Linked DNA regions of Neodiprion lecontei. The protein of the gene in region 1 purifies or fractionates together with the protein of each later gene. This does not show direct contact. Links are inferred from orthologs where the notes say so. Each region holds a gene or a part of one and is shown on either strand. Other genes may lie near its edges.

What was found.
Region 2: the proteins of cell division cycle 5-like protein (region 1) and serine/arginine repetitive matrix protein 1 purify together in Homo sapiens (affinity purification with mass spectrometry; 4 studies listed by BioGRID and IntAct, with this or other methods). This does not show direct contact. The link is inferred for Neodiprion lecontei from reciprocal best matches to the Homo sapiens genes CDC5L and SRRM1.

What each region holds. Positions count from the first base shown.
Region 1 is NC_060260.1:4,639,511-4,646,457, forward strand, and holds cell division cycle 5-like protein, read left to right. Parts: upstream 1-2,474; 5' UTR 2,475-2,592; coding exon 2,593-2,637; intron 2,638-2,913; coding exon 2,914-3,179; intron 3,180-3,269; coding exon 3,270-3,400; intron 3,401-3,493; coding exon 3,494-3,822; intron 3,823-3,923; coding exon 3,924-4,097; intron 4,098-4,205; coding exon 4,206-4,380; intron 4,381-4,478; coding exon 4,479-4,738; intron 4,739-4,846; coding exon 4,847-5,021; intron 5,022-5,110; coding exon 5,111-5,229; intron 5,230-5,314; coding exon 5,315-5,482; intron 5,483-5,603; coding exon 5,604-5,711; intron 5,712-5,768; exon of another isoform or gene 5,769-5,798; coding exon 5,799-5,972; exon of another isoform or gene 5,973-6,090; coding exon 6,091-6,321; 3' UTR 6,322-6,447; downstream 6,448-6,947. Other genes in the region: chromatin assembly factor 1 subunit B, read right to left, coding at 39-567, 650-877, 987-1,250, 1,329-1,638, 1,717-1,849, 2,003-2,143; cysteine and histidine-rich domain-containing protein morgana, read right to left, coding at 6,528-6,734, 6,867-6,947.
Region 2 is NC_060260.1:24,701,022-24,708,334, reverse strand, and holds the start of serine/arginine repetitive matrix protein 1, read left to right. Parts: upstream 1-3,015; 5' UTR 3,016-3,172; intron 3,173-3,256; 5' UTR 3,257-3,346; coding exon 3,347-3,358; intron 3,359-3,446; coding exon 3,447-3,536; intron 3,537-4,558; coding exon 4,559-4,681; intron 4,682-6,466; exon of another isoform or gene 6,467-7,177; intron 7,178-7,313. Other genes in the region: uncharacterized protein LOC124293066, read left to right, coding at 360-442. UniProt on the Homo sapiens protein: Part of pre- and post-splicing multiprotein mRNP complexes. As a component of the minor spliceosome, involved in the splicing of U12-type introns in pre-mRNAs. Involved in numerous pre-mRNA processing events.

The DNA of each region.
Region 1 (6,947 bases):
TGAAAGATACGTGTGTATATATTACCTAAATTTAACGGTCAATTCTTCTTCCCACTTCTCGGACTGGAGAGTGTGATAAGCTGTACCCTACGCGGAGTTTTAGCTGCTATCACATTAGGAACTATTGGTTTTGGAGGTGTTTTTTTAACAATGTCACTTATATTTTCTGTGTTACTTTCTTCTGTGTAAACAAGTTTTATATCTTCCGTCTCTTCAAGAACTACGTCATCAACATCTGTCGACTTTGTATTTTGGACGTTTTTCACAAGTTTATCATCTTTATTACCATTATTCGCCTCTTCGCTAAAGTCAGATGCTTTCACAGGTTTCGTAATGTCAATATCCATTGCGTCACTGCACATATCAATAATGAATTCAGTCTTCTCGGCATTATTAGTCTTACGCTTTGATTTGGATGAATTTGAATGCACAGATTTCGTTTCTGTCGTGTCATTTATGTTTACCAAACTAGATTCATACACATTTCCCAATTCTCCGTCTTGGAAATGAATTATTGAACAATAACCGTCTGTTGACGAAACGACTAAAAGACGTCCGTCGGACGACCTGAAATACACACAAATAGAATTTAAATGCAATAATGTCGTATTGCTGTGCATTGTGAAACGCAGCATTTCATTTAACTCACCACGCAATGTCTGTCAATCTGGTATAATGAATGTTCGAAATTATTGCAATTGGAGAAACTTGTTGAGTGTCATATATGAGGACGGAACTTTTTGTAGCAACTGCAAATACTATTCTATAAGGAATTCCTATCATCGATACCGGGCCATCTTCTCTCAACTTAAAGTAAATAGGACAACAACGTACAGCTACTGTAAATTGTTCCAAAGACGGCAACACTACTATAGGCCTGAAAAATTAAAAGATATCGCGTTTAGACATGTCTGTTAGTAGAAAAGCGATGTTTCCAAATTCTGCATACAAAAATCCGATAATAAATGTAATGTAATCGTACATACTCCTTAATATTATGCCTGGAGAAGATAATTGTTGCATTGGACAACTTTTCAGAAGATTCTTGAGGTTCAATAATGCCAGATGGCGCAATAATCAATAAGCCATCGGGTGAAAACGTAAGTCTTCTGAAGAAGGATTGAAAAGTGTCATCATAAAACAAGCGTACAGTTTTGTCTTTCAGTGGGTGATTGGCTGGCGTGGGGATCTTGGCCTTACTGACGCGCTGAACAGTTTTTTTTGTGTTTATATCAAATAACCGGCATTGCCTGTGGACAAAGAAATTTGTGAGCCCAATTTGCACGGGAGAAAGATCATTTTTTGTCGAAAACTATATGCTCTACTACCTGTCTGTACTTAATGTGCACACGTATTGATTTGACGGATCCCATGAAACTCCTTGAACAAATCCTTTATGATCTGATAATATACCCATGCTTCGCCCTTTTTCAACATCCCACAGAATGGCAGTATTATCAACAGAGCCGGAGACTAAAAAATTGGAATCAGGGGACCAGCTCAAATCGTAAACATCCTCGACGTGGCCTCGAAGGATCTTCCATAAATTCCATTGTTCTTTATTCTGATTTGTATCATCCCCTGCAAGTGGGGGTGGTTCAAATTCGCCCCTTTCTTTCCATAACATTATCGCAGACTCTGAAAGAATGAATTAAAAAAATTAAGGATTAAATAATTCAGAGTTAAAAACTGTATTACTCCATTTTCCTTGCTCACCGTCATCACCAGATGCAAGGATTTCACCCGAAGGAGAAAATCTTACAACATTAACTGCCTTCTGATGGCGACTCAAGTCCCCAACAAACTCCACAACCGTTGCTCCCACTTCATTTACTGTGAGATGCCAAATCTAGATTAAATATTGCAAATTAATTGAATAATATTTATTTGGTCACAATATTCAGGTTGAAAAAATCGAATATCTTTTAAAACTAATTTAGGCTTTTCATTCAGGTCAATTACCCAGAATTCGCGATGGTAAAAATTGAAACTCTTTACTTACCAGAACATGAGAATCCGCACCACCAGTAGCCAAACGCCAAAATATTTTACCGTCCGAAGTCTTATTTACACCGGGTTTTAGGTCAATACTCAGAACAGGATCGCGATTATGCCAGGATATTTCAGGAATCGTACACTTCATTATGTTTAATTAGAAGAACATGTATGAGAAAACGATAATTTTAACTGCGCCGTGTTTCGTCTATCCCGATTTTTATTAAAATTAAATCCACACTTCAATCGGTGATTATTATTTTCTACACATAACCTGATTTTGTACTGCACGAAGAATTTCGCGCGAAACGCTCCAACGTAGTCTGTGGTTCAGAGAACAATGAAGAAAATCGGTGCATGTGGGAGTTTCAACTCTGTAGAGACAATTAGTTCCTAAAAGTCACGATAGAGGTCGATCAATTAAGAAATTGCAACCCTGACTGTTGGTAGCATTGGCTCTTGACGCCACCTTGACGCCATCAACTTCATTGAGAGCGAATTACACCTTTAATCAATTTGTAGCGAAAATTCATGCTAGCGAGAATTTTCGTGGCTTCTTACTTTATTTCGTTTGTAGTTAATTAAATTACAAACAAAATGCCACGTATAATGATAAAAGGTGGTGTTTGGCGCAACACCGAAGTAAGTAACAATTTTCTAACCTCGATTATGAATTTCAAATGCGCCGAACCTTGCGAGATAAAAGCCGCTGATAATACTCAAAATCAGCACTCTAAATTCTTCGGTTATAATTCAAAAATAATTATGCTTGATTTCTGGACAGATCATTGCATCAAAATTCACTGTACTATATATCTTACTTCATTTCATTTTACCTCATACCTGTATAATAGTTGAGTTGGAAACTTTTCGTCCGACATAATTATACACACGTAGCAATTTATATATATTTTCTAGGATGAAATTCTCAAAGCAGCGGTTATGAAATATGGAAAAAACCAATGGTCACGTATAGCCTCACTGCTTCACAGAAAGTCTGCTAAACAATGTAAAGCACGATGGTTCGAATGGTTGGATCCAAGTATAAAGAAAACAGAATGGAGTCGAGAGGAAGACGAGAAGCTTTTGCATTTGGCAAAGTTAATGCCAACACAATGGCGTACCATAGCTCCAATTATCGGACGTACCGCTGCCCAATGTTTAGAACGCTACGAATATTTGCTGTAAGTACGATTGAGTCATGTCTTAAAAGTCAGCAGTAATAGAGAATTAGCGCTAATCTTATCCTCCATTGAATACTATTTAATTTTCAGAGATCAAGCTCAAAAAAAAGAAGAAGGAGAAGATGCAGCTGATGATCCTCGCAAATTAAAACCAGGCGAAATTGATCCCAATCCAGAGACAAAACCTGCTCGCCCTGATCCAAAGGATATGGACGAAGATGGTAACTGTTGACATGTATTACGATTATAACTAATAAATTCATTACGTTCATTGATTCAGAAAATACTTGATAATAATCTCTAATTTTATCCAGAACTTGAAATGCTGTCGGAGGCCCGAGCTAGATTAGCAAATACTCAAGGTAAAAAGGCTAAGCGTAAGGCCAGGGAGAAGCAGTTAGAAGAAGCCAGACGATTGGCGGCGCTTCAGAAACGAAGAGAATTACGAGCTGCTGGAATTACAGTGTCTCAGAAACACAAACGCAAACGTGGCGTAAACTACAACACTGAAATACCATTTGAAAAACGGCCAGCACTTGGTTTTTATGATACATCAATAGAACATGTTGATCCCCTAGCAGCTGACTTTTCTAGAATGCGTCAACAACATTTAGATGGAGACCTGAGGCAAGAAAAGGAGGAGGTACAATATGTGGAATTCTATTTTGAATGAAGTCAACCAATAAGTGTTAAGAGCAACTTTTCTCATTCTATTTGGTCCAAATAATTGTATAATAATCGTAGATGGAGCGACGCAAGGACAAGCAAAAGCTCAAGCAAAGAAAAGAAAATGATATTCCAATGGGAATGCTAAACAATCAAGAACCAGTTAAAAAGAGGAGTAAACTGGTCTTGCCAGAGCCACAGATATCTGATCAAGAATTACAACAAGTTGTCAAGCTTGGTAGAGCTTCTGAGGTATCAAGTGTTGCATATGTTTTATTGAGTATTCAATCCATCCACAATTTTATTCTTGTTTTCAGTCAACATAAGCACATACAAATGATGTAGTATACTTTTTATTAGGTGGCTCGAGAAGTTGCAACAGAAAGTGGAGTGACACTATCCGACAGCTTATTGGCGGACTATTCTCTGACTCCAAGTGCAGCAGCAACTCCTCGCACACCAGCTGCTACGGACAGAATTCTCCAGGAGGCTCAAAATGTGATGGCTTTGACCCATGTTGACACACCTCTAAAAGGTGAACTTCGTTTTCATGAAATTACGTCTTTAGATTACAAATCTTGCAATAACGTTATTAAAAACTGTTACCACATGTTTTGTAAATCAACTTTGCAGGTGGTTTGAATACACCGCTACACAGTTCGGATTTCAGCAGTATTTTACCTGCTAATAATGTTGTGGCTACACCCAACACTGTATTGGCAACGCCATTCCGCTCACAACGCACTGACGGTACACCTACAAATTCGTTCAATACGCCAACATCTACACGAAGTCAAGCTGGAGCTCTGGTACCGACACCTGTTCGCGATAAACTGAGTATCAATCCAGAAGAAGGACTGGAAGGTTCAGAGACCCCTGCTCTTCACAAGCAGGTATTCTCAAATTATGAGAATAGTGAGCTGTACCCGAAAAGATCAGCAATTCATCAGCACATCAGCTGATTCCATAGTAGAATTACAGTTTTCATTTTTTTTTATTAGGTGAAAGAACAGCTACGTGCTGGATTAAGTACTTTACCCACACCTCGGAATGATTATGAAATAGTTGTTCCTGAAGGTGAAGGAGATGATGAAAAAGGAAACGAGTCTTCAGACAATATAATAGAAGATCAAGCTGACATTGATGCTAGACGTCAACAGGAAATAATTGAGCAGCGTAAGTTTCGTAATCCAGAAGTAACTATCAATTTGCTCAAAATTATATTTCATCCAAAAGTCATGAAAATTTGATTGATTATTGTTCAGAAAAAAGGGATCTTGCTCAAAGATCACAAGTGATCCAACGAGATATGCCCAGACCCGTAGACATCAATATGAACATCTTGCGACCGCTTATGGATAGTCCACTAACGGACTTGCAGAGGGTATTGAAACAGAAAATAGTCCAATAATCAAATGTAGCAGTAAATGTTGATTATGAAAATTCAAAATATTAAATATTCATTTCAGGCCGAAGAATTAATAAAGAGAGAAATGATCACAATGCTTCAGTACGACTCGCTGGAAAACCCAGTGACTACAATTACCAAACGAGGATCAAGTTCTTCAATTGTACAAGCTACCGCATTTCTGGAACAGCATCCCTACATAGACTACGATCCAGAAGAACTTGCGCAAGTAAGTGAAGTTACTATCTGACAAATACTACGTTCTGCCCTACAAAAAATAAAGTTGATTTTGGTATCGAGACTTTTTTATACTATGCTCCAATTTTAACTGAAGTATAACCTTTTCACAGGCTCGTAAACTTTTGGAGCAAGAAATGGCAGTTGTGCGGGAAGGAATGGCACATGGAGAACTAAGTTTAGATGCCTATTCTACTGTCTGGGAAGAATGTCTGTCACAGGTTTGTTTTTGTCGTCTTTTGTTACAGTTCATCACGCAAAGAATTATATGAACGTGATTAAAAAATTAAATCGATTATTTATTATAGATTCTATATCTGGAGAATCAGAAGCGATACACAAGAGCTACTTTAGCTTCAAAGAAAGATAGGGTCGAAGCATGTGAAAGAAAATTAGAAGAAAACCGTGTTCATATGACTGGGGAAGCAAAACGTGCAGCGAAAATGGAGAAGAAGCTCAAAATATTGACTGGAGGCTATCAGGTAAAGTAATATCTGTGGAATTGTATCGTGATGTCATGATTGAACGATTCTGAATTCAACAAAATTCAAATTATCAATATGCTCCTCTTTATGAATTTCTGCTAACATCTTTTCACAGACACGTGCACAAGGATTATCAAAACAAATACATGACTTATGGGAACAAATCGAACAGGCTCACCTCGAACTATCAACTTTCAAATTTCTCCAAGCACAAGAGGAAGCTGCAGTACCAAGGCGACTGAATGCACTCATGGAAGACGTCAATAGGCAAACTGAAAGAGAACGTATCTTGCAAAATAAATTTGCTGAGCTTCAAGATCAGTTGCAGCAGTTACAAGTGCAATAACGTTAACATAAGAGAGGTTAGATGAAATACTGAAGAAAAAAAAGTAAATATTAAATGAGGAATTGTTCACCTCGTTCCAAAATTAGCAACTTATGATAAAAGATTAATAAATGACTGCATAATTTATACATGATAATCATTCACGAATGTATTTGTGCTGATATTTCTGGTCTTAAATAACTTTAAGTAATAAACAGTCTACATTTTCAAAGATCACTGAGGTCTACAGCATCTACTTGTGCGGTTATGCTCTCCTCTTTCTCAGACTCTGACTGTAGGACAGGAGGTGTTTCTATCGTTTTGGTTGGATTTGCGGTTTCAAGCTTAGCCCAAGTCCCTGGTTCAGCTTTTTTCAATTTTATTTCTACTTTAGTCGGCAACATGTTTACGCTACTTTCTTCCACATTGACTACCTAAAATAGTGCAAAAATAATCCTTGAAATATAGTTGTCCAATCAAAATTTAGCTATTTGTTTGTTGTCAAAATTATTTACACTGAAATGAAATAATTCGACATTGAATTGTTATTAATTGTGAAACTTTACCCCTCTGAGTTCAACATCCAGCTCATATCTGGAATCTTCCTCTTGGAAGTACAGATCCACAGTCAATCGTACTGGATTTAA
Region 2 (7,313 bases), about 20 Mb from region 1:
CGAACACATGAAATTATATACTATGACTCTTTCAGAACATTAACTAAGAATAAAGGAGCTGAAAATTTATTAAATAATTTAAGATTTAGTTTTCATTTATTGAAAAAAGGGCCCAATAGTTCTTCTTGCAAGTTTAAATGCTGTTATTCTTCATTATTTACAAAAAATGGAATTAGTTAAATTTTCAACTAGTTGTATAAAAATACATTAATGGAGAGAGAATATTTTAATCGATAATTCAAAGATTCTACCTTTATTGATATGTAAATAATTTTAAAATAAAACAATTATATCTGCTGTAATGATATTTTATTCGGTGAGATAATTTGAAATGGTTCTTCATTGGATTCGAATTTCAGAACTGCATAAATCAAAACAAGTGAAACTGCTTCAAGCTGAACCCTATGGACATATTTACATCCAGGAGTATTCTATGTACTAAACAAATTTTAATGGCATCCTCTACCCTGCATCGTGCTCTGCAAGTTCTTGATCATAATCAATGACTATTTGTGAATGATTCATTCGTCATAAAATGGATATCTATGCAAATTATTGTCCACATTCAAAGGTATATCAATATAATTGATATTTGCTTTTAAATTTTCACTAATTATTTAAATTGACTTATTTATTTTTATTTAATATGAATTTGATAATTTGACAATATCAAATTAACTTGAACTGCAACTAATTCATTAATTGCAAATGGAATATCTGACCTATATAATTTCATTTAATATACTGTCTGTTCTTCAGATCAAGAATTAATTTTAACTGCCAGTAGGACATTCAAATACTTATGAGAAATGAATTAACTTTTTAGTTATTTATCTAAGAACGTATATTCGAACATACTTTTTATTTCTGTTGCATATAAGTAATTTTTGGTACAAACTGTGGCTGTGTTATAATCATAAACATAAGAGTGCTGAACTTGTATTTCTTAGTATTACATAACAACATATATGTAATTTGAAAGCACAGTAAAAATTTTTTAATAAATGTTTGAGTTTTATTTTCTGTTAGCCTCATTGATGCAACTATTCAAATAAAAGTCTAGGTTTATTACTTGACGTGCAAATCTAATGGCAGGAGACACGTCATTGAACAGGTATATTTCAAATCCTCATTCAACATTCATTGAGTGAAAAGCATACAATCCGATCATGACTGAGGTGTATGCCACCACGGTAATGACCTCCACACTTGCACCACCAACTAGCTTGTTGCCAGATAATTATCTGCGTTGATTTTGTGCTTTGTTTCAAAGTTGCGCAATCGAACATCGAACTATTAGACACGTTTATGTATAGCTATTCATAAACCTACACCACGTGTCAAAAATCAGAATTTCCTATAAAGTAGTCACATGATAATCGATTTGATGGAATCTTTTTAAATTGATGAATCAGTTACCTAATTTGATATTTAAAAATTGTGAAAATAAACACATACAAGGCATCTGAAATATTGATACTATGTTAGTAGTTATTGAAATTTAATCACGTGAAATTGAGGTTGCATATATAATTTTGATTTCTTATATAACAGGTGCATTATGCAAAAAATTATGTATTCGTAAGAACTCACAAAAGTTGGAAGTACAATATTTCATATGCAATGTTAAAAAAGTAGATTGTAAATGGTCAGTTTATAAGTGGGTCCATAGATGGAACAATTAAGCACACTGATCATAAAAGGGCCTCTCCTCGCAAAATTCGGTAAAAGTATTGTCCACAGGCAGAAAGCGGGATGAAAATAAAGGTGTCAAATAAAAACATAAGAAATACCATTAAGTAAACCTGTCAAAAGTCAATACTTTTGGCTAATATAATTTTTTAGCCTTTCTTTAAAACTCCTTCACGAGAGGATGGATTTCTCATAAACTATAAGACCTGACACAAGATATAAAAAAAATTTATAATCTACATGTATCCTATTGTTCTGGAAGCACGCAGGGGCTTTTTTTCAATCTAATTTTGTAGAAATGGTGCACGTTTGAAAAGAAATGAGTAGGTTTTTGGCCAATCAATAAGCAATAAATTGAAAAAAAAACAAAATTTACATTAAATAAAAAAACGGCGACGTAATTCCATATAGAATGTATTGTGAAGCGATTGTCAAAATTTCAAATCGATCCATACAACGGTGTTCAAGTAATCTGTCCTTCCACTTTGAAAAGTGGTTTCGAAAAAATTGCGTTTAAAGTTTTACGAGCACTCACGATCAGCGCGCGCTCCGATACACTGTGGCAAAAACGAGAATTGAAGCTTTTAACATTTTTTTTTCACTATAGGACCAACTGGATATTGTTTTCATGACCCCAAAGTATTGTTTAAGCCGAATATAAAAGAAATCGAAATTTCTAAAATCCGAGACTGGTGTTACTGCTTAAGAACGTGATAAACCGATGACAAATATTCTGATCAAAATGAATAATTCGGGGTAATATTTTCTCGTATCTATTTTCTCGGGTTTTGTTTTTACGAGAATTAATCCAGTCATTACACAACAAAGTATAGCGTCCGAACCCTATGAAACTGTCGAGTGTGTCTGATGCAGCGATCTGACTTCTTTAGGCGCAAGGACATATTCCCGAAATATTTGTCATGACACGGTTGACTCTTAATTAATGCATTGAACGATTTGAAAAATTCTGAAACGGCCAAACGACACATTTTGTCCATGTCAAAGCTGGCTGGTGAAGGCGACAACGAACTATATTATACACTTACCAAAGTGGAGAATCTTCCATTTTTTCTGAATCCATTTGTTTAGATTCTGAAGTTTCTTCTAATGATTCCCGTATACGTAATCTTACCGAACTCACAGAGCGGACATGAGCAGACCACTGAGCAGACTGATCGGCAGCCGTCCAAATCCGCGCTTGGTTCCAAATTAATTAAGTCTATGGTCCCAAACCGCGGCCAGAGAGAATAACTCAGGAAATAGCCGGTAGATCGCGCCGTCGTCGGCCAATAGACGCATTACGTGTACCATCTGGCAACACCGTGCGGCAGCAATGTAAGCAGGAAAAGTAAGCAGCATCGCCGCAGCCATTAGCCATGTTGTTAGATTGACTAGTATCGCAGAGTCAACTGTTGTTCGCGAATGTGTGCTGAAACGAAATAATCGTACATATTTTGTCGCTAAAAATATCATCGACTGGGTACGTTTCACTCCACCATCTAAAATTATATTTTCTAGTGACTCAACGTCATTATGCCGTTTCTTCTGCAACTTTAAAATACAGGTTTACTGTTCCCGAGCGTACACAACGCGCAGCAGGCCTTTCGCCCTCGTCCAATTTCAGGCTTAGCAGCGATTGTAACAACCGGCAGAGATGATGTACACGGTGAGATCTTGCGCGTATTTTTCATACAATATCACATCTTTACATTGTGTGTTATCTTCACTAACTGTTTTTGCATATGTATTTACAGGGGACCACGGCATCGCAGGATACGCGGTTCAGCGATAAGGAGAAGAAATTGTTGAAGCAGATGAAATTTGGTGATTCTCTAACCCAAAAGGTAGGGTTCTACTTAGCAATTGAACTTTCCAGATCCAACTAAAAATATATTAGTATTTCATAATGGGGTTTCATTCGAAGCCCCTCGTGAGTGACTCGCCACTTTCAGTCAATTTTCACAACTGAAATACTTTCCGTTAATATTTTAATGCTGCGGACGTGTCCTGAATTTTTAACCGATGTCCGGACAAGCATAGATCAGTTGAACTGCAGTCAAAGCTTTTATGAATTATTATATTCGGTTGCAATCCAAATCCAAAACATACACATGAAGTAAGAACCATGCTGTCAATGTCTGACGCGTTTAGAGTGTTGTGAAATATACATGAAACGCAACTCCCTTGCAGCACGCGGCACTTTTGTGATATTTTAACATATTCACATATTCACTCTTATCAATAGTCATGTGTCATCACATCTAATGAACCTTTATTCTATAATGACGATCTTACTGTCAAGCCAATACTTGTGTATTTTTTTCATCCGGTTTCTTAGGATTCATCTCTAACCTTTCTTTTAGTAAACGGACAGTAATTAGTTTCAATATTTCGTCTTTCAATACCATTGCATATCGGTAATGTATTTTGAATTAATGTCAACGAATCATGTGTAACGTCACTTGGTACGTAGTTTGCTAACACTGAAAACTTAGTGATTTTCTTGTCTCTACTTGAACAGGACATCAATAAATTATAGGGATGAAGTTGGTAACATTACTGTAACGATGCATGTTTAGGATAAATCATTACTTTGCACCTTTAGGAATGTCTGAAATGTAGTAAACTGTGATCAAGTAAACATACTCTTATTTTAAAAAGCCAACTCCTTCAAAGTTATTCTAAAATTGCGCAATAATGATTTTTTTCATACGTTAACGTTACTAACTTCAACCTTGTAATAAATTACGTTACTAAGTTCAACCTTGTACTTTATTAGCTGTGAGTAGGTTACTAGATCATTTTATTTCAATCAAAAGTGAATGATACGGTACGAGTATTGAAAAAAAATAATTTCAAATTACAGGTAGACATGAGCAAAGTAAAATTGGACGTTATTAAGCCCTGGATTACTACCAAAATAAATCAGATCCTTGGCATGGAAGATGATGTAGTGGTTGAGTTCGTCTACAACCAGCTGGAGGAAAAGGTAAGAACATTTAGAATATCCTTTTTGTTTTAAATCGTTACTTATTTTCTTTTTGATTTAAATGGATAGAATGGTCTAAATAATTGAATAAGCAGTTTGTATACTCGGCTTTTTCCCCTCAGCATAGAACATTTACTTTGACACACATTATCATAGATATAGTCCGGACAAAAAGATATGCGATCACACTCAGCTGCTCGTACCAATGAATTATGTGCACTTCATCTTGACAGTTACAAAAATGTCAAACCGATAATTGTAAGGTGTTTTTCATTAAGTTTTCAATAACTTCAACGAAGAAATTTGGCTCAGTAATTCTGTTGGGTGATAACTGAATTATGGTATGCAGTTTTCTCAATAATTCTGCTGTACACAATCATGGAGTTCGATAAAAATTGCAAGAAACGCTTGGCAATGGCGATGGCGATCACATGTCTAGAATGTTTCCTCAAAGAAATTTGTCCAATGATGTATTTCCACATCTCAAATATGAGTATCTCTGTTTCTGTTTCAAAACACCAGTCATTTAATTTTAAAAACATACTTATAACGCAGAAAAATAAATTCAGGGCTCAAAGAACAGTCTTTCTAGTAAATATTATACAAATACATTGGTTTTTTCTTCCAATTGAGCGTAGATTCAAAAAATAGTTGAAACAATCAGTCCACGTTATAAGATCTTTTGATAAATAGACATGAGGTTGATGTTTGGAATATTAATATAATAATACATTATTTTTTTTTTTCAAAATACGCTATTCTGTAACGTTGGGATTTTTTGAAATTCAGTACATCGTAAGGCAAAATTTTTCATACTTTGGAAACTAAACTTTTTCGAAGTCAATCTACAATTGCAACCTAGTAATCTTTTTTTCAATGTTTTGTTACAGTAATATCACTGACTTCAATCTTGTAAATTTACAGTAGTCTGTCTGATATGGCCCCTGACCAAGAGAATTACTGCGCAATAAAAAATAATAATTGTATTATCATTGATAAAAATCAGTTTAATGATTTGATTACTTTTGTTTTGATTTTTATTGTTCAAATCAACTAAAACACTCGAACTGTGAAAGCATAAATCCATATTTCGGGTAAAAGTCCCACATATCTTTGGAATGAATTCATCGTTTATGTAGCACCTGATTTGATATGAATGTTTCCAGTTCAAGAATTTTATCATGGATTACAGAAAACATTTTGGCAAATACTTTATGATTAAAGTTTCGAAGGGTTTAAGTTGTATGATTTTAGCAAATTTGGTTAGACTTGTTTTGTACTTTTTTGATGCATCGTCATTTTGTGTAACTTCAGAATTGTCCTGATCAAAATTGTCATTCATGTCTGAGAAACCTAGAATTGTCATATTATTGACAATAAGATGTAGTTTCGCACCTTCTAATAGCTTTAAATTCTTAAATTTGCTACTATTACAATGAATGAATCTTGGGATGCTAATTTGGTGTTGAAACACTCATAAACATCCTACTCATTGGTCAAACAATGCATTTCTTGCTCAGCAAGGAAAAAATGAAGCAGAACGTATTATTGCCTTTCTGAAGGACGTGAAATTTATTTATCGCAACATCATCATGTAACAGCCTTAATAATTAAATTTGGAAGTATCATTCCTTCTATGTAATGTAGTGATCTTAGCGGTAGATTTAACAAAACAAAGCAGACTTTGACATAAAAAAAAAAGTGAAGTGCGTAGGTGAAAATTGTTGAATTGCACTATATATGACAAGTCTTATCACGTCTCTTTGAATTCCCCATTATTATAAGTAGAAACCGTTGCGGGGGCTCAACCCTTTTGTCCCAATGGCATTCGGATGTGTTCCTCTCTGCATCCGATTGGCCGCCTTTCTATCAACCGTCAACCATAGCGTGATCCGTCTTCTACGTCGTACCACATCGCATCAGCAGCTAAGGACAGCTGCCGCAGTTGCCGATTCTTCACCATCTAGCAACCTCCGCCTTAGCGGAGTCACCATTCCCCGTCATCGTCACCCAGAGACCAGCTACGTTTTTCTACTGCAACATCTTGTCCGTGCGAACGAGTTCCTCATCATCCTGGAGAGCCTCAATCAAGGCTTTGCGTCATGTTGACGCGTGCACCACCTCTTCGTGGAAACCGAGTTGCCTCTTCCGAGGCAATTCAACTGACTGGCTGTCGACGCAGCAGAAAGGCCTTGGTGGCCTTGAACCATGGACCTTGGTTATCACCGGCAGTTTCCCTTCATTCCAAAGATGACAAACATCTGCAGGCCTTGGTCAGGGCTCACCGTTGACCAATGAGAGCGACCCAACATTGAAGACACACCTGCGGCTCTTCTTTAGTCAACGGGGGGGGAAGGGACTTTCTGAACTATTGCTGTTCGATCTCAACTGTCCACCCTTTCAAGGTGGAAGTGAAGTGATCAAAGCTTGGAGAGTGGGATTGGTAGACAAGCATCATATTCGCACATGTTGTGACAATCCTTGTCATTATGACAGGTTGGTTTCTTGATGATATATACTTATACTTTTCTATCGATTCTTCGTTTTTCAGCTAATAATCATTGTATCCACGTGTCTAATCAATATTTTTACATTATAGCTTTGTACCACCGTAACATTTCAAAATCACATT